Linked DNA regions of Canis lupus familiaris. The protein of the gene in region 2 interacts with the protein of the main gene of each other region in a pairwise test. Links are inferred from orthologs where the notes say so. Each region holds a gene or a part of one and is shown on either strand. Other genes may lie near its edges.

Region 1 (5,060 bases), on a different chromosome or scaffold from region 2:
AACCAATCAAAATGAGTTATCTACTATGTCAGGCACTGCACTGGAAACTGAGCTCCAAGATGATTAAGACAAAATTGTCATAAGGACATATACTGGGAGTGCCTGGGTGGCTCAGTTGGTTAAGCTTCTACCTTCTGCTCAGGTCATGATCCAGGCTCCTGGGATTAAGCCCTATGTCATTCCCTGCCCAGCAGGAGAGTCTGCTTTTCCCTCTCTGCCTCTTCCCTCCACTTGTGCACTCTCTCTCAAATAAGTAAATAAAATCTGAAAAGAAGGACATATACTCACATAAAAATTACATCAAATATTTAATACAGTTTTTAAGAACTTACAAAGCAATTTCATGTTTCAGGTATGGAAGGGATAAAAATGGGAGTGTTTCAGCTTTAAAATTTGTCCCAATATAATTTAGACATCTTCTGGGTAAGTCTGTTAAACTGGTTGGGTAGGCCTGCCCAGACTCTCTTTTGAGAAAATAGCCCCAAAGGGTAAAGACACAGGCAAAACAAAGCTTTCAGCCTATTTGCGTTTTGGAGGTTTGAAGTAGTGCAATTCTAGACACACCAGGGTGAGACATCTAGATATGTCTCCTAAGCTAGACCCCAGTGCATTTGTGTGAGTTCTTTGGAGAAGAGGGGCACAAAAATAATACCAAAAAGGGCTATTTTGTTAGGAACCAACAAAAGACAAAGAACCATGTGAATGGTACTCACTTGGATAAATATAACTTTAAAGTGGGGAGAAAGATCTGCTCCAGACTTCTACAGGAGTCAAACCGGACAGGGTTTAGCTCACTAGGGACTCAAGAGAAATCAATGCACTTTTCTTACCTTGAGGACAGAATCAGAACCCAGAAGGGAAAGTACACCTGACACGGCAATAATCAGGGGAGAAGTACTGCAAATATCAGAGGAATGACAAGGTGGAAGCCATCTATTTTTGCCCTTTGGGCTTGTCAGCATGGTGAAAACTCCCTTTAGTCCTTCCCAAGTACCTGACAGACCTGGATAGGAGGCAGCCCAACAGTTTCACACCTCATCTATTCCACTCAGCTGCCCTGGAAGGCAAGCATTATTCCTCCTCACAGGAAAGAAGATTGACTCTTAAAAGCAATGTACCTGTAACAAACGGAGGGTTTATTCATCCAGTTAAAACTGGAAAATTCTTAAAGTTGACTCTTAAAGTTTGTTGAACCAGTATTATATACCTATACTATATTTACACTCCTTGAAAAACTGTTTTTGCTACTAAAACTTCAGATAATAAAAAGAAAAAAGTTACATAGTATTCAACTACAGAGAAACGTGACCCAATTAACACCCTGGAGCATCTGATTTCTGATTTTTTGAGGGGGGGTCATATTATACATATGCTTTTAAATGAGACAATAATAAATGTATAGATTGCTTTTTAATTGCTTTATTAACTTTACACTTTTCCATGCAATTGGGTGACTCTACTGTTGACAGAAACTTAGACTGAGTGCCAAGGCAATCCCCATTTGGAATCTGGTAATACAGAACCCACCTGACACATGGAAATTACATGCGGTTCACAGCAAATGGATCAGTAAAGGTTATCAGGAAAAGGCAAGGAAAAAAAAAAACAATGTGAGTCACAGTATTAATCTCATGGAAAATGGCAGGAGTCAAGGCATAAGGCAAAATTCATCATGATGATCATGGTGATTAGAGAGCTCCCCCATCAGGATACGCAGGCAATTCCTCAACTGCAGCTCCCTAAGTTTTCTCCTGATTTCCCTCATCTCCTCCATGAACATTTCCATATCATCCCCATCTCCACCCATCCCATCATTGACCTGCCTATTGGGGATGGCCCATCGGAAATTAGGAGCAAGTCGACGAGCCTGTCCCCGTCTATTATTTCCTGCAGGTTGGTGGCCTTCTCCCCCTCCCAAAGGGCGGTCTTCCTCTCCATTCTGCATGGGTTGCTCCATTTCTTCGTTTTCCTGGTGGATATTTGCCATGAGATTTTTTTTCCTGGTTGGTTTTCTTTGAACACAAATAAGACAAAGGCAAGGAGAGAGACTGAAAGCTTGGTGTACTGAGCAGCAGGCTCCAGAGATCTGGTACCTAACGTTTAAAAAAAAAAAAATTCCCACCTTAGGAGCTTCAGGCGTCCTCTAGGGGGCCTCCGAATCGAGCCCCTCCCTCCCGCTCTCTCCTTTACCCTCCCTCCCCCAAAGCCCACCATTTTTCCTTTCCCAGGATTCTTTCCCCAAGCTCCGCAGGCACCAAAATGGAGGTGGGGGACAGGGGATGACGTACATGGGAGGAGTCACAAACTCGGCTCTGCACCCGACCCCCACTCTGTCCCCCGCACCGACCTGGGCCTATCCTTGCTGTCTCCTCCTTCTCCCGATTCTCGCCGTGTGGGCGTCGCTGCGACAGTTGACACCTAGGCTCGCAGTCCTGCAAAGGGCCAGCGTGGAGGGAGGGGGGGTGTTGCGAAGCGTTTGGCGCCGACCTGCCACCACCTGGTTCCTTCCGGGTCCCGGGCCCCCCTGGCCGCCCCCTTAAACCCCATCTCCGGCTCTCAACCCTAGCGTCCCCCCACCCCGCCCGGAAGGTTCACTATTTTCCTGCAGGTACTCGGGGGTGATTTCCAGTTGCTCTTAGTTGCTCTGCTGCCCACCCAGCCGCCCCAGCACCCCCACCCCAGGGGGCCACTACGGATGTTCCCAAGAATGCCGGGGGTGGAGAAAGCTGCTGCGCTGATCCAATGAGCCAGCTTCGAAAGTAGGCGGACCGCTGCCGCCCTGGCCTCGCGCACCGGCCCCGGAGCCCTTACCTGCTCCGCTTTCCTCGGGCCTGACGCCAGCCCGCGGGGCGCAGGACACCGGGGAGCAGGTACCCAGACGGGAGTGACGACTGCACCGAAGGCTGCGTCGCTCTGCAGCTCCACGTCACGTGAGCGCCTCACGTCACCATGGAGCTCGCCCCCCAAATCTAGCTGCTTGTGCGGCGCGCCTACCCGCCCCCACGCCTCGCCTCACGCACAGGCGTAGGCAACCCCCTTAGCCGGTTTCTGCACTGAGCCCCAGCGCGCACCGCCGTGTCACTCAGCTTGGTCCTCTACAATTTGAGGCCCGAAAAACGCCTCACCTCCCAGCGGAGGGAGTGTAAACTTCTCAGGAAGGTAACTTCTCAGGTTACCCGGGAGGGTCTGCAATACCCTTCATCCCTCCCACTCCCGCCCCAGGCCTTGAGTTTGAGTTGTTTCGCTTTCTCTTCCTTTCTCGCTGGCCGCACCCCCTCTTTCCCTCATCCACCCTCAGGTGCGCCACCACCGTTGCCCATTGCGTCCCCTGAATTCAGATCCTTCCAGGAAATTTAGAATGAAGGCTGGGGTGGGAAGGGAGCAGGAGTCCTATTAGAGAGGCAAGGAGACAGAGTGAATTCTTCCAAAGAATTTCTCTTTCATTTCCTTTTTTAAAAAAAACCAGCATGCCTCAAAAAATTAAAAATTGCGAGATTTCACTTTTGAAAGAAATGCTTCATCTTGCGGGATGAAAAAGCCTCATTTTTAAAAATTATGCTCGTATCACACAAAATATCTTCTCTGAGTTCCACATGACATTAATATCGCTTTTGAAACACATATCTTGTTTCAAATTTCTATTTTGAAAAAAAAGAGGCATCTTTATGAACATAGTTGGTATTTTCAAAATGATCTGTAAAGTAAATCTTTAGGGAGAAGTCCAGTTGTCAGATATTGGCCTTTTAATGTAAATTTGCGATGTTTTTGATACCATAGTCTTTGAAGAAAAGGAGCCTTTTTACACCCTGCTTTCCTTTACAAACTTTCAAAAACCTCCCCTAACAAATATCTTCGTAGAATGATCACAAGTATACCATATGCAGACGTTAGTTCCAAAGCCATCTGCCTTTTGATGTAAATGTTTCAAAAAATAATAGAAATAAACAGGGTGTATATGAAGCAACTAAACTTGAGACTGAAATTCACCTGGAGTGTAAATGTTCCTGTCTCCACTTTAAAGTAACTAAACAGATTTTATCATAGTTAGAAAACAGATGTCTTTAGGAAAGCGGCATTCATAATAAAAAAAAATTTAGTAAGCGTTGGTTGTGATAAAGGAACCAGAAGAGTTATATGCACTGAAGCAAGACAGGCCAGACAAATGCTTACTGCCTCTGGTTTGGGTTCCAAACTCCTGTGTAATCTCCTACCCTGCTAAATTAGCTGGGACATTGAATAAATGAAGAATATATGCCTAGTGCATACATAGTTTGAGCTTTTTATGCTTTGAAGATATTTTGAGGTATAGCTTGTTAAAAAACAAAATTCAGCCAAGTAAATTTGAAGATTTAATTGAATTTATTAAATGATCCATGAATCAAGAAGCATCCCATCTAGCAAGTGGAGGAGAACTCCACAAAGACTACAGGAAAGGAAAGGTTTTTAAGGGCAGGACAAGGAAGTCATAAACAGAAAAAAAAGGATTATTTCACCTGTAGTTACCTTCATTTGGAGACATGAGGGTTCGTACATGGATTACCTGATTTTGCTTTGGTGGAATGCAGAGGGTTCATGTGACAGAATTACCTTACTGATGCTGACTAGTTAAAGGTTACATTCCTAGGTGGTCAAAACTGCAGTTAGGTTAGATATTAACTTGGTTTGCTACTAACTTGGGGCCTTAACCAAAGTGATGCCATTTGGGGCCTGTGGTTTTCTTTTTAACAAGTTCCAAAAGCTCAATCACACCCAAAATTGTCTTTTAAAGGAGTAGTGATTCTTGAATTCTGTTTCACAGTTTGCAACTCTTCATGCAGATAGTTCTATTAATGACACTGGCTGCAAGGATGCTTATTGAAAGCATGAGCTGTGGTATCAGGCATATCTGGGTTTAAATCATATCTGCTACATACTTGAAGTGTGGCTTTGGGTCAATTACTTTTCAAGGTCTTTGTGCTTCCTCTGTGAAACAGGGATTGTAGAAGTAAATTACATATATTAAGTACTTACCACAGAACCTAATAAATTTTCAATAAAAGCTGGCTCTTTTTTTACCATTA
Region 2 (3,911 bases):
ATGGGAGGAACTTACCCTGCTCTCCTTGGGGACCTGTGGGAAGAGGAAAGGGAGCGGTGAGATGTGGGGCAGCTCTCACTAAGTCACTCAGCAAATATCAGCTGAGTCTTTCGCTGTCCTACAGACATACAGACTCCAAAGCAGGAATGGGGGTATCAAGAAAAGGAGGAATAAGGTCCTTTCAGTTCAACTCGTCCCCAGCCTTTCACACCCTACATATCCCTGTGAGCTCAGCCTTAGTCTTCAATACAGCAGGAAGGTTACCACATTGAACCGGCCCATATAGTGACTGTGCCGGTCCCTCATCACTGTCAGCCACGTAGGACCCCTCACTCCTTGCCCCTTTCCTCCTTTCTCTTTCAAATCCAGAATGGAACGAATGTCAAGCCTAGGGCTGCTAGAGATGTGGGGGAGCCCTGACTGCAGTATGGATCTCAGCTCACATACCTGGTGGCCCGATGGGTCCTCTTTGTCCATCCTTGCCTGGAGGTCCTGAAGGTCCAGCAGGGCCTGGGGGTCCCTGTATCCCAGGAGGCCCTGGGGGCCCGGCCTCACCCGGGGGCCCTACGGTGATAAAAATTAAGTTGAAGGGAAGCCATAAAAACAGTTTCCAAAGGACAAAGAAGGTTGTGGCTCCATGGGCAGGTGCATGGGGCCCATGGGGCTGCCCATGCTGGATACCTGGCTGGCAGGGCAGCACCCCACCCCCAACCACTGTCCTGTCTGAGCTGCCAGGGGAGAGTGGGGAGCTAGGAGCTTGGATCATCTCTTATGGACACACCAACCCCCGGGACATTGGTGGGCCTGCAATTCATGCTGGGTAGAATAAGGAGAAAGTATATAAGGTTATGGCTGGCTGTTGTGGAGGGGGAGAGGAAAAAGAAAGGACCAGAAAGGGGTCCCCCCACCTCCCACTGCACCAGTGCCCCCTCACCAGTGAGGTCCTTCAGACTGAGCTGGTGAAGCTGATCCTCCAGGAGCAGCACGGAGCTGTTAAGGGCACTGAGCCGCCTGCCCAGGCCCGCCTGCCCCCCCAGCAGCTTCTCTAGCAAGGCTGCCTGTGTCTGGCTGGTGCTGTTGGTTTCCCGTAGCCCAGCCCAGAGCCCAGCTACATGTCTGGAAAGGCCCTCTCGTAGGCCCTGCAGTCCCCCAGCCACCGTGTCCAACCGCTCACAGACTCCTTCAAGGCGGCCCAATCGCCCCTCTAGGCTGGGGCACTGGCCAGCCTGTGCCTGTCCCTCTTCCAGGCCTCGGAAGCGCTCCTCACTCTCCGTAGCATGCTCTGTGGCCTCTTGCTGCAGCCTGTTAATCTCCGAGATGATACGGTCCTTGGTGGCTCCAAGGTCAGCCAGATCAGCCCCCTGGCCCTCCACAGTGGTCTGGAGCTCATGCAGTGAGTCATTGAGAGAGCTGAAGGTGAGAATAACCTCAGAGAGCTCTCCTTGCAGGGCCTGTAGGGCTGAGCCAGAGCTCCCCCCAAACACACTGAAGCCATCCAGAGGCCCTCTGCTTGGTCCCCCAACACCTGGGCCAGCCCCGGGGCCCCGTGGGGGGAGCAGGGGGCAGGAGCAGCGCTCCACACCATCTCGAAGGCGGCCCAGCTCCTCCTGGACACCACCACAGGCCCCACAGCCCTCATCCCCACGGGCCTGCAGTAGTCCCTCCAGTTGGCCCAGCCGTGCTGCTGTGAGATTCAGCTGCAGTGCAAACTCTGCAAGTGTCTCGTCCTGCGCATCGACACGACCCTGGAGCTGGCCCACAACCCCTTGCAGTCTCTCCAGTGCAGCCTGCTGGGCTTCCCCGGCTGCTCCCACCTTGTGCAGGCCTGAGCCCACTAGACGCAGCTGCCCCTCGCTGTCTAGCACCCTGCGCTCCAAGGCACTGAGGATCTCACTGACCTGGGAGTCCTGCTCCCCGGGGGCCCCAGAGCAGAGCTGCCCACATGCCTGCACAGCCCCTGCCACCTGCTCTTCCAGCAGATCCAGCCGCCCACCCAGCTCCCTGCTCACATTGGCCAATAGTCCCTCCAGCCTTTCTAGTCGGCCCCGGGCAGCAGGCAGCCAGTGGCCCAGGCCCCCAGGACGCCCAGGCCAGCCCTCCTCCTGTTCCTCTGAGGGGCCCAGAGTGGAGTTGAATTGGTCCTCCAGGCGAGAAAGGCGGGACGCTAAGCTGGTGTAGCCTGGGGGGTGGCCCCCCTGCCCAGCCGCTCCCCCCAGCTCGGTGCCTCGCCGCCCGCTCAGCACTGTCACGGAGCCGGCCACGACATCCAGCCTCCGCTCCAGCTCGGCTAGCCGCCGGCCCAGCTCGGGAGGGCAGCACTCCTGAAGGGGCCTGCGGCCCACAGCCTGCCCGGGGAGCTGCCGCTGCCGCTCTTCCACGGAGGCCAGGAGCTTCTCCAGTGCCCGCAGCCGCTCGCGATCCTCCTGTTGCTGCCGGCGGAAGCCATCGAGCCCCGCCAGGCACACGGAGCAGGACTCCTGCAGCCGCCGCTCCAGTTCCCGCAGCAGCTCCTCACTGTGGCCCGGAGGGGCCGGGGCGGGGTCCAGGGCCCGGCTACCGCCACTGCCACTGCCACCGCCACCTCCGGTGTGATGGTTGTTGAGATGGCCCAGCTCCTGGTCATGGGTGGAGACACGGTTGTCCAGGAGCTGCAGCTGCTGCTGGATCTCACTGAGGGTTTCGTGCACGCCAGGACGGGCAGCTGCATCTGCCGGCTGCTGCCTCCCGTTGATGGCCGTCTCCACGGCCCTCTGGACGTCTTCCGCCAGGCGCCCACTCAGTCCCTGCAGGACACCTCGGAGACCCTGCAGCTCCTTTGTCAGGCTCTGCACCTGCTCCTCCAGCTGTTGTACCTTCTCTGAGTCCCCAGGACCTGGCAGAGAGGGGAAGGCATCAGACAGAGTGGCTGGACCTCAGAACTCAGTGAGCCCTCCTTGCAGGGCCTATAGGCCTCCTAGGCCCTGCTCTCCCCAGCTCCGACACGAGGTCCTAGCTGATTTGGCCACTGTTAGCTGGGTAATTTGGGCAAAGACAAGACAGGGGGAACCTCCATTTACTAAATGCCTCTAGGCCAAAATTGTACCATGGCTTTCCCTCCCTTATAAGACTCCACTGGATAGATATCACAGCGTTTCCCATTTTGTTGACTGTGAGAAAGAGAACCAGAGGAGATTAGGGAACTTGGCCATAGATTACAAGTTTCATAAGTGGCAGAGACAAGTTTCAAACCCAGCTCATCAATCTGACCAGCAAGTCTACTGTCCAGAGTAGGTCTCAGAAGTTGTTTGCTTATCTGTGAAATGGGAGTATGGGGAGGCACAGTGGACCCCACAACAGTGGCTATTCCTGAGCAACATCTCTCCATAACACCACAGGGACAGACAAGGTTCCACGGGAAGGCTGCAGGGGCTCGAGCTGGATAGTGGGAGAGTCAGCCAGAAGTTCCTGTTTCCATCATTACAGCATGACTATCTCCCTGGCAGACAAACACAGCACATCCGCAGTGCCCAGGGCGCGTGCAAGCAGGAAGGCCATGGGGACCGCTGCATTCTGGGACCTGCAGTCTCCAGAGGCCCCTGAGGGGCCTGGGACCTGTAGTTGAGTGCAGTGCATTCTAGGACTTGTAGTCTGAACTGTCTAATCCCTTGGTGACCAAACTTCTCGAAGGAATTCCCCCTTCCTCCTGCAGCCGTTCTCAAGTAGGAAGTATCTCAGCCACATGTGGGCGTGTGTGAGCACATTCTCTTGCTCTGCCTTCTTTTTCTCTTGATCTCTCGCAATCTCGGTTTCTATCTGACTCACACATTCGCGCACACACACACACACACACACACACATTCACACACATGCGCAGGCAGAGAATCTCAGGGATCTCACTCCCTTCTGTCCCCTTCTTCTGACTGGGAGCATGG
Region 3 (5,414 bases), on a different chromosome or scaffold from region 2:
TTGGAGTAAAATGTGAATAGTACATTTCTTTTTTAAAAAAATTTTTTTTATTTATTTATGATAGTCACAGGGAGAGAGAGAAAAAGGCAGAGACACAGGCAGAGGGAGAAGCAGGCTCCATGGACCGGGAGCCCGACGTGGGATTCGATCCCGGGTCTCCAGGATCGCGCCGTGGGCCAAAGGCAGGTGCCAAACCGCTGCGCCACCCAGGGATCCCAAATAGTACATTTCTTGAGGCTGGAATAAATCTTATATTGTCCTTCTACTTTGTCTGTATTTAATTTTACTAATTTTACCGAGGACTTTTTATGGTATCTTGGGAGCTTGCTCAACCCAGGCTTAGGACAACCTTGAACTGTCAGAGATGTTAACATTCCTCAGGGTAATATCTACCAATAAATAACCCAGGCCTGTGGATAAACACTCCAGTTTCCCATCACTAAATGGGATAATTCTGAGGGGCGTTCTACATGCTTTAAACTTAGAGGGTCCCCAGCAGGATTGAGCCAGTTGCCTTTGGCCATGTCTGACTCTGGTGCTATACATTTTTTAATTAATTAAATTATTTATTTGAGTGAGACAGAAATCGTGACAGAGAGAGAGCAAAAACAGGGAGGAGAGAGAGAAGCAAGCTCCCCACTGAGCAGGGAGCTCCACACCTGGCTCAATCCCAGGACCCTGAAATCACGACCTGAGCTGAAGACAGACGCTTAATCAACTGAGCCACCCAGGCGCCCCTGGTGCTATATTTTTAATGAACGTTTTCATCCTAGGATTATATACAAAATAACATTTGTTATATACTATTTTCAATGGTTTCACGTCCTTTAATCTAGATATTTCATGTCTGTATTTAACAGGAAAAAGACACTTCAATATTTTTTCTGAATAGCTGACCAATGATCTCAGCACCATTCCTTCAGTAATCTAACCTCTCCCTGCTAATTCCAAGTATTTCAATCAGATTTCTAATATTTCTCCATATTTGGGATTGATAATGGCCTTCTCTACTATTTATTTGTTCTATATTTATTCTGCCATAATATTGTTTTTTTTTAAATTTTTATTTATTTATGATAGTCACACAGAGAGAGAGTGAGGCAGAGACACAGGCAGAGGGAGAAGCAGGCTCCATGCACCGGAAGCCCGACGTGGGATTCGATCCCGGGTCTCCAGCATCGCGCCCTGGGCCAAAGGCAGGCGCTAAACCACTGCGCCACCCAGGGATCCCTATTCTGCCATACTATTGTGTTAATATTATAGCTTCACAATACTCTGTATCTGTCAGCATAACTTTCCCAAATTATTATTCTGGATCGTTGGAAGACCTCAGTGCTGTTCTATTTTAGAGGCCATGGTAGAGTTTTGTAAAGTGAATTTGCAGTAATATAATTTAGGAGAGACCGTAAGTTTGTCACAGGCTCTCCAGATAGGAAAATCCACCAGCAAGACTCAGAGCCTCACCTCCTGGGAAGACCTCACAGAGACCCTTCACAAAGGCAACCATCAGCTTAGGTTTTTAATTTAAAGTCCTTAAAAGGGAGATGATGTCTGAAGGGTCTGTACTATTAGGGTGATTCTGCAGGAGAAGGAGGTTATCAAGACTTTACAACTCGAATCCTACTTTTCAACTGAAAATAATTGTATTGTCTAATTATAACAACCAAAAATGGAATGCATGCTAATGGGAAACAAAAAAATTAATCATCCTTTCCCTTAAAAAAATAAAATAAACGGAAATAAAGTAAAAAATAATTATGTCACTTTCTGTGTATTTTCCAGACTTCCTTCCATTGCTGTTAAGGGTAATTTTGGGTTTTATTTGCTGGGGAGTTGGACAGGAGAGAAGTGGGCAATTAAAGGTTTAAAAAAGAATTATTTCAAAGCTGCAGCAGAAATCAGGGGAAAGGCAAATATAAACTACAAAATATCATGATGCATTTGGTTTTAAAGACTTCTAAACAGGAAAAAAACATAGAGATGGGTTGTAGTGGGGAGAAGGCAGGGATGAAGAAAAAGGTGGCCCCGCCCACACTCCCGCCCCCACCCTCTTGCCGCAATGCAGGTGGGAACCATAATTGGGTATCTGAGCTCAGAGTGACGTGGCCCTTACGAGACCTGGAGCTGACGCGTGGGTTAGCGTCTCCTCCTAGTTGCAGTCTGGTTGTCCTTTGTGGCTGTGCGCCGGCACGCTATTGCCTTGAAGGCAGGCGAGCCTGTAGCACCGGGAAGGAGGAAGTCGTAGAAGCTGACCCTGATCGGTTGCAGGTTAGTGGGCGCTGACTGGGGTGGCAGAGGGCTAAGACCGGAGAGGGATTGGATTCTCTCGACCTTTTTACCCAATACCCATTTATATGGTGCAAGAAATGGACGGCTTGGTGGGAGGAGATCGAGAGGGGCCAAGAGTTGGAAATGGGTACCAGTTAGGATGTCCTAGGAGTGCAGATCTCTTGGGCGATCCGGCGTCTGGAAGGGAAGAGCCAGGGCAGGGGACAGCGAGGAAAAAGCCTGATTGTTGCAGGGCGACGGGACGGGGTTGCAACCATTGACCCTGGGGATGACGGACTCCGCCACGGGTCTAGGCCTCGGTTCCGGAATCGGTTCTCCACCTCCGTCCATTTTGGAGCGGGAAATGGTGGGCTGCGGCAAACGGGGGGGAGGGGGTGGAGATGATGGTTGCTGCAGAGGATATGGACAGGGATTAGGTCCGGGAAACACTTCCCTTCTGCGGAGGAGGTAATCGAGAGGAAGCTTTCTGACTCAGGGATCTGGTCGGGAGCAAGAAAGGTGTAAGCCTGGGCGCTGCCTGCGGACCCTGGGGTAAGCAAGACAAAGCGCTTAGACATCAGCGGGTCCAGGTTTGCAATACCCACGCTACCTCTTCGCTCTTCGTCCATTTTGATTCATAAAATGGTGGGCAGTGAAAGGAGGGTGAGTTCCAGAAAGTCTAATGGGCCCCAACTACATTGAAATTTTTTATAAATAAACCAGGTCACCATCCAGCAAGCTGTTTTGACTCCCCTGCCCAGCAAGTTGTCCATTTGCATTCAAGAAATGCTAATCAGGTGACGGGAGGGCTGAGGCGGAGGTAAAGGGGCCTAAAGAAGAGGTGAAACTGGTTGGAAATAATAATCTTTGATTACAATGCCTATTTCTGGAGGGCGGAGTAGTGCATTGCAGGACAGGAGAAGAAACCGTGATACAGGATGGAGGAAAAAGAGAAGGTGGCAACCTTTGATTAACGGATTCCTAAATCAGCAACAGAGCAGGTGCCCCCCAATACTGGTCCTTTAATCAAGTGAACAGTCCTGGCCATCGTCGCATTTTTGTCTGCAGGTCTCTGGGTCCGTTGGTGCAGCAGATTTCAAAGCAAAGAGAAAACGACTACTTCTGAGCCTGCAGGTAAGTGGCTGCTTGGGGTCCTCTGGTTTAGGGTTTATCGGGGATCATGACAGAATCTGGGAAACTCACTGCCCTTCCAGCCGGAGTTAAAGTGCAAGAGGTGCAAGGAGTGGCCTAAGGAAAAATTGATGGGGAAAATGGTGAGCTTTGGAGCTGGGCTGGGTCTGGGGCGTCCCCTAGAGGGTGCACGAAGTTTCTCAGATGAGAGAAAACCTTTTCTGACAGAGCTCTGACTCCTGTTGTTACAAAGTATTACATCCTTTTTCTTGCTTTTTATCTCCTAGGAAGAGTAAGCAGGAAAAAAATCTCAACATGGAAAATGTCCCCCAGGAAAGCAAAGGAGAGGAGCAGGCTCCAATGCAGAATGAAGAAGCCCACCCTTTGGAAGGTGGTGAAGGCCAGGAGCCTGGAGAAAATATTAGAGCCGATTGGGCCCCGCCTGCCCATGATGTGAGAGAGGATATGCCCAATAGGCTTGTCAATAACCTTGACATGATAGATGGAGATGCAGATGATATGGAACGGTTCATGGAGGAGATGAGAGAGCTAAGGAGGAAAATTAGGGAGCTTCAGTTGAGGTACAGTTTGCGCATTCTTATAGGGGATCCCCCTCACCATGACCATCATGATGAGTTTTGCCTTATGCCTTGAATGCTGAGGTTAGTAATAATAAACTCCCTGCCTCCCAAAGTTGCATTTTCTTTATGTACCCTTTACTGTGAATCTGTGATGTTCTGTAATTTTTCTGATTGGAGAATTCATTTGACTTAGTCTGAAAGTTTTTCTGTCAGCGGGGGAGTTTCACCAACTTGCATGGAAAGATGTTTAGTACATAGTGTGAAGGTAATAAAGCAGTTTAAAAACCAGTCTATAAATACACTATCTCATTTAAAAGCATGCATAATATATGTGTGTGTATCAGAATGTTTCTTCTTTAACTTTTCTTGATTACTTATTTTTTCTCATTTTTCCAAAATGAATACATATGTATTATACATGTCAGGCAAAAAGTAAGAGGCAAAGAACTTGCCAATTGACTTATAAAGGGAATGGAGACAATCATTAAATGCTTCAGACACAATTTAAAGACACATGAATCTTCTATTACCTCTTATAATATAATCTCTTACTTGGAAGCACGAACCTGGTCATTATTACAGATATGTTTCTTTATAGTCAGCCTATTAATCTATGAATGAAGATAACATGCACACTCTCTAGGTGCTCTTCATATTTAGAGAAGGGCCCAAAAAGTATGTCTATCATCAAGTCTAAATGCCAAGTGGGTGACACCTTTTTTTTTAAGATTGTATTTGTTTGAGAGAGAGTACAAACGGGGAGGGGCAGAGGGACAAGTAAGTAGACTCCCTGCTGAACAGGGAGCCCAGCATGGGGCTCCACCCCTGGAGCCTTAGCTGGTCAGACACCTGACTGAGCCACCTAGGCACCCCTGGGTGACACCTTTCTATACTTAGGCTTCTGTGTCTCCCTTCTCTAGATAATGCCTTGACTGCTAAGCACTCTTTCCCCTTCTCCCTTCCTTTTGGCTCCCTGTGCTGGTCCCCACCACTACTGATGTGCTAGAGTACTAAAGGTGACAAAGACCTACTGATTTCTCTTGAACCATCAATGATCTGAATTCCCATTTTGCCCTTTCAGAAATGTGGAGAATGCCCTTCCTGCTTTGTAGTTATTCTTAATCCAAGCGAGTACTCCCCCAGTGCTGCTTAGGGATCCAAATAGCCCTTTTGTTTTTTCTCAGACTTTCTTCTTTATCCCCTAATAAAATCTGAGTGACATTCATTATAGTGTATTCAAAATTAAACTCTCTTTTCCATCCTCTGATGAATATGGCCTGTTTCCTTGGCTTTCCATTTTCTGTGGAGACCCTGCTACAGGTTTCACTCTGCACATACACAGGTGTGGGGGTGGCTTTATGTTTATACCATTCTAACCCCAGAATCCCCAGTAGTCTACTCACACTAACCTACATGAATCCAAAGGAGTTTCCC
Region 4 (3,589 bases), on a different chromosome or scaffold from region 2:
CTGACTGATTTTTGACAAGGGTACCAGAACCATTTGATGAGATAAGAATACTCTCTTCAACAAATAATGCAGGGACAACTGCACATCCACAAACAAAAGGATGAAGTTGAAGACCCACCTCACACCATATACAAAAAACAATCCAAAGTAGATCAAAGAACTAAAGGTAACAGCTAATGCTATAAAAATCTTAGAAGGAAACAGGAATAAATATTCATGACCTTGGATTTGGCAATGGATTCTGATATGACACCAAAAGCATAGGAAACAACAACAACAAATAGTTAATAGGACTTCATCAAGATTAAACTTTTGTATTTCGAGAGATACTGTCAAAGTATAGAGACAGTCCACAGAATGGGACAAAATATTTGCAAGTCATAGATCTGATAAAAGCCTTTATGTATCCACAATACATAAAGATCTCTTAACCACTCAACAACAAAAAGACAACACAGTTTTAAAAATGGGCAAAGGACTTGAATAGACATTTCTCCAAAAAAGACAAATGGCCAAGAAAACACAAGCAAAGATGCTCATCATGATTAGACAAATGCAACTTAAAACCATAGTGGGAAAAAAAAAAAAACCACAGTGAGTTACCACTTCCCACCTAGTATGATGGCTATAATCAAAAGGACAGCTGGTGAAATGTGGAAAAATCAAAAACCTTAAATACATACTGTTGGTGGGAGCGTAAAGTGGTATAGAGAACAGTCTGGTGGTTCCTTAGAAACTTAAACATGGAATCCGTGTTTGACTCAGCAATTCCATCCCTAGTTATAGACCCAAGAGAAAAGAAAACATGTCCCCACAAAAACTTGTGCCTAATATTCATAGCACTATTCATAATAGCCAGAACGTGCAAACAAGCCAAATGGCCATCGACTGATGCCTGAGTAAAATGTGGCACAGCCATACGACGGACTATCACCAGCTGCGAAAGGGAATCAAGCAGTGATCGTGCTCCGACATGGAAAACACTATGCTCAGTGGAGAAAAAAGCTTGACACAAAGGCCACATACTGTATGATTCCATTTATATGAAATGTCCAGAATAGGCAAGTCCATAGAGACAAGCATATCTGAGGGATGGTGGGAGGAGGAATGGGAAGTGACTGCTTATAGGTACGGGGTTTCTTTGGGGGATGATGAAAATGTTCTGGAATCAGCGTACAACTATGTGAAGCCACTGACTTTATGTGGTTTTAAATGGTTAAACATTTTGAAATTTATGTTGTGTGAATTATACCTCAGTAGGGAACTGTAAAAAATTGCACACAAATTTGCACATCTATGCCCTGGGGAATCTCACTGGACCGTGGATCCTGATCAGGAGGTCTGGGTTGGGCCCCACAATTCTGCATTTCTGACGGGCTCCCAGGTCATGCCACTGCTGCTCATCAGTGGCCACATTTTGAGTGGGGAGGCTACTCTGAGGGCGTGTGCACCTGTCACCATACCATCCCGGGCCTCAGCTGCCTCACCTGTGAACCAACTCCACCCTGTGTGCCCCTATAAATGAGGAGGGCAGAAGCACACCCCCCCCCCCGAGGGTCTGCAGGTCTGCACCTGCAGGAGGCTGTAGCCTCAAGGGTGGGACTGGATGAAGAAGGGGCTGTGGCTATAGGGGTCACGGGCAGCGGATGCAGCGGGGACCAAGGGAGTAGCTCTAATTTTGCACAAAGTTGAGGAAGGCAGGCCAGGATGCAGGGTTCTGCTCTCAGAGGATGGCTGTTCCACAAGGTGTCACTTCCAGCTGCTGGGTGGCTCTGGCTCCAGTGCTCCAAAGTGATCTGAAAGGGAAGGGGCAGCTCAGGGGCACTGAAAGTCCCCTGCCCTCCCCCACCCCTCCCAGTGCCCCCCCAACTCCCATGCCAGGGATCACAGGGCACAGGGAGGGAGCGGAGGCAGCCCCCCTGATGCCCATTAGAGGGTTTTGTAGTGGCGCAGGAGGGGTTTCTTGCAAGGGACCTGAAAGGAGCCCAAGAGCTTTAAGGGGGGCACATGGCCCGGGGACGAGGCAGCAGCTCCGTGTCCGGAGGGTGTGAAGTGGGCCCTGGGCAACCTGCACCAGCTCTTCCAGAAGCCCGACCAGGTGCCAGGCTGCAGTGCCCAGGTGGGGCTGAGCTGGGGGTGCCGGTCCCCTCCGCCCCGGCGGGCACCCATCCCCAGCCCGAGGCTGTCCCCTCTGCCAGGCCAGCAGCTCACCGTCTCCGAGGAGGTCGGGCGTGGGGCTGAAGGGCCCCGGGGGCAGGTTCCAGGCCAGCTCCTCCAGCTGACCCAGCAAGCCTTTCACTTCGGCCTCCAGATGCTCCACCGTCTTCTCCACCGTCTGGAACCAGAGATGGGAGCCGGGCAGGGGCGCAGGGAGGCGGGAGGAGCGGGGAGGAGCGGGGAGGAGCGGGGAGGAACGGGGAGGAACGGGGAGGAACAGGGAGGAGCGGGGAGAAGCGGGGAGGAACGAGGAGGAAGGGGGAGGAGCGGGGAGAAGCGGGGAGGAGCGAGGAGGAAGGAGGAGGAAGAGGGAGGAAGGGGAGGAGCGGGGAGGAAGGGGGAGGAGCAGGGAGGAGTGGGGAGGAAGGAGGAGGAAGAGGGAGGAAGGGGAGGAGCGGGGAGGAAGGGGGAGGAGCGGGGAGGAGCAGGGAGGAAGGGGAGGAAGAGGGAGGAAGGGGGAGGAGCGGGGAGGAGCAGGAAGGGGGAGGAAGAGGGAGGAAGGGGGAGGAGCGGGGAGGAAGGGGGAGGAGCGGGGAGGAGCGGGGAGGAGCGGGGAGGAGCGGGGAGGAAGGGGGAGGAGCGGGGAGAAGCGAGGGGAGGGGGGAACAGGGAGGAGGGGGGGAGGGGGGAGCAGGGAGGAGCGGGGCGCGAGGGCGGTGCGGAGTCTTGCTTCATTGGTCACATCCCAAGGAGCCCGCAGCGACCCAGGAGGGGAGAACTGAGCGCCAGGGGGCCTGGGGCCTCCTAGTTCGCGGCCCCTCAGTTCCCCGGGGATTCCCCACCCCCACCCCCCTGCGAGCGCACATTCCTTTTGTCGCCCCGCCCCCTGGTGGCAGCTCCGCCAAATGACAGGCTTGGGATTTCGGACCGCTTGGGGCGGGAGGGTCCTCACTCCGTGGTGAACAACCCCATTAAGCAGCCTGGGGGGATCCCTGGGTGGCGCAGCGGTTTGGCGCCTGCCTTTGGCCCAGGGCGCGATCCTGGAGACCCGGGATCGAATCCCACGTCGGGCTCCCGATGCATGGAGCCTGCTTCTCCCTCTGCCTGTGTCTCTGCCTCTCTCTCTCTCTGTGACTATCATAAAAAAAAAAAAAAAAAAAAAAAAAAAAAAACCAGCCTGGGGAGACGCACAGATCCCCCCTCTCCGAAAAACACTTTAATTGGAAAAAAAAAAAAAAAAAAAGCACGTAGGATTTCCGAAGACTCCTATTGCGTTAAAATCTCATTCAAGGGCTAAAAACTAAATCTTGGGATCCCTGGGTGGCGCAGCGGTTTGGCGCCTGCCTTTGGCCCAGGGCGCGATCCTGGAGACCCGGGATCAAGTCCCACGTTGGGCTCCCGGTTCCTGGAGCCTGCTTCTCCCTCTGCCTGT

What was found.
Region 1: the proteins of EMILIN1 (region 2) and BEX3 interact in binary tests that used the Homo sapiens proteins (3 or more experiments, as listed by UniProt). The two-hybrid records come from large-scale screens. The link is inferred for Canis lupus familiaris from reciprocal best matches to the Homo sapiens genes EMILIN1 and BEX3.
Region 3: the proteins of EMILIN1 (region 2) and BEX5 interact in binary tests that used the Homo sapiens proteins (3 or more experiments, as listed by UniProt). The two-hybrid records come from large-scale screens. The link is inferred for Canis lupus familiaris from reciprocal best matches to the Homo sapiens genes EMILIN1 and BEX5.
Region 4: the proteins of EMILIN1 (region 2) and PLAC9 interact in binary tests that used the Homo sapiens proteins (3 or more experiments, as listed by UniProt). The two-hybrid records come from large-scale screens. The link is inferred for Canis lupus familiaris from reciprocal best matches to the Homo sapiens genes EMILIN1 and PLAC9.

Annotation. Positions count from the first base shown.
Region 1 is NC_049260.1:77,301,722-77,306,781, reverse strand, and holds BEX3 (protein BEX3), read right to left. Parts: upstream 3,165-5,060; 5' UTR 2,812-3,164; intron 2,433-2,811; 5' UTR 2,348-2,432; intron 2,094-2,347; 5' UTR 1,988-2,093; coding exon 1,649-1,987; 3' UTR 1,400-1,648; downstream 1-1,399. UniProt on the Homo sapiens protein: May be a signaling adapter molecule involved in NGFR/p75NTR-mediated apoptosis induced by NGF. Plays a role in zinc-triggered neuronal death.
Region 2 is NC_049238.1:21,138,520-21,142,430, reverse strand, and holds part of EMILIN1 (EMILIN-1), read right to left. Parts: intron 2,873-3,911; coding exon 935-2,872; intron 565-934; coding exon 448-564; intron 34-447; coding exon 16-33; intron 1-15. UniProt on the Homo sapiens protein: Involved in elastic and collagen fibers formation. It is required for EFEMP2 deposition into the extracellular matrix, and collagen network assembly and cross-linking via protein-lysine 6-oxidase/LOX activity.
Region 3 is NC_049260.1:76,328,108-76,333,521, reverse strand, and holds BEX5 (protein BEX5), read left to right. Parts: upstream 1-2,075; 5' UTR 2,076-2,268; intron 2,269-2,704; exon of another isoform or gene 2,705-2,820; intron 2,821-3,336; 5' UTR 3,337-3,402; intron 3,403-3,686; 5' UTR 3,687-3,714; coding exon 3,715-4,053; 3' UTR 4,054-5,205; downstream 5,206-5,414.
Region 4 is NC_049225.1:30,002,620-30,006,208, forward strand, and holds the end of PLAC9 (placenta-specific protein 9), read right to left. Parts: intron 2,336-3,589; coding exon 2,212-2,335; intron 1,797-2,211; coding exon 1,750-1,796; 3' UTR 1,024-1,749; downstream 1-1,023.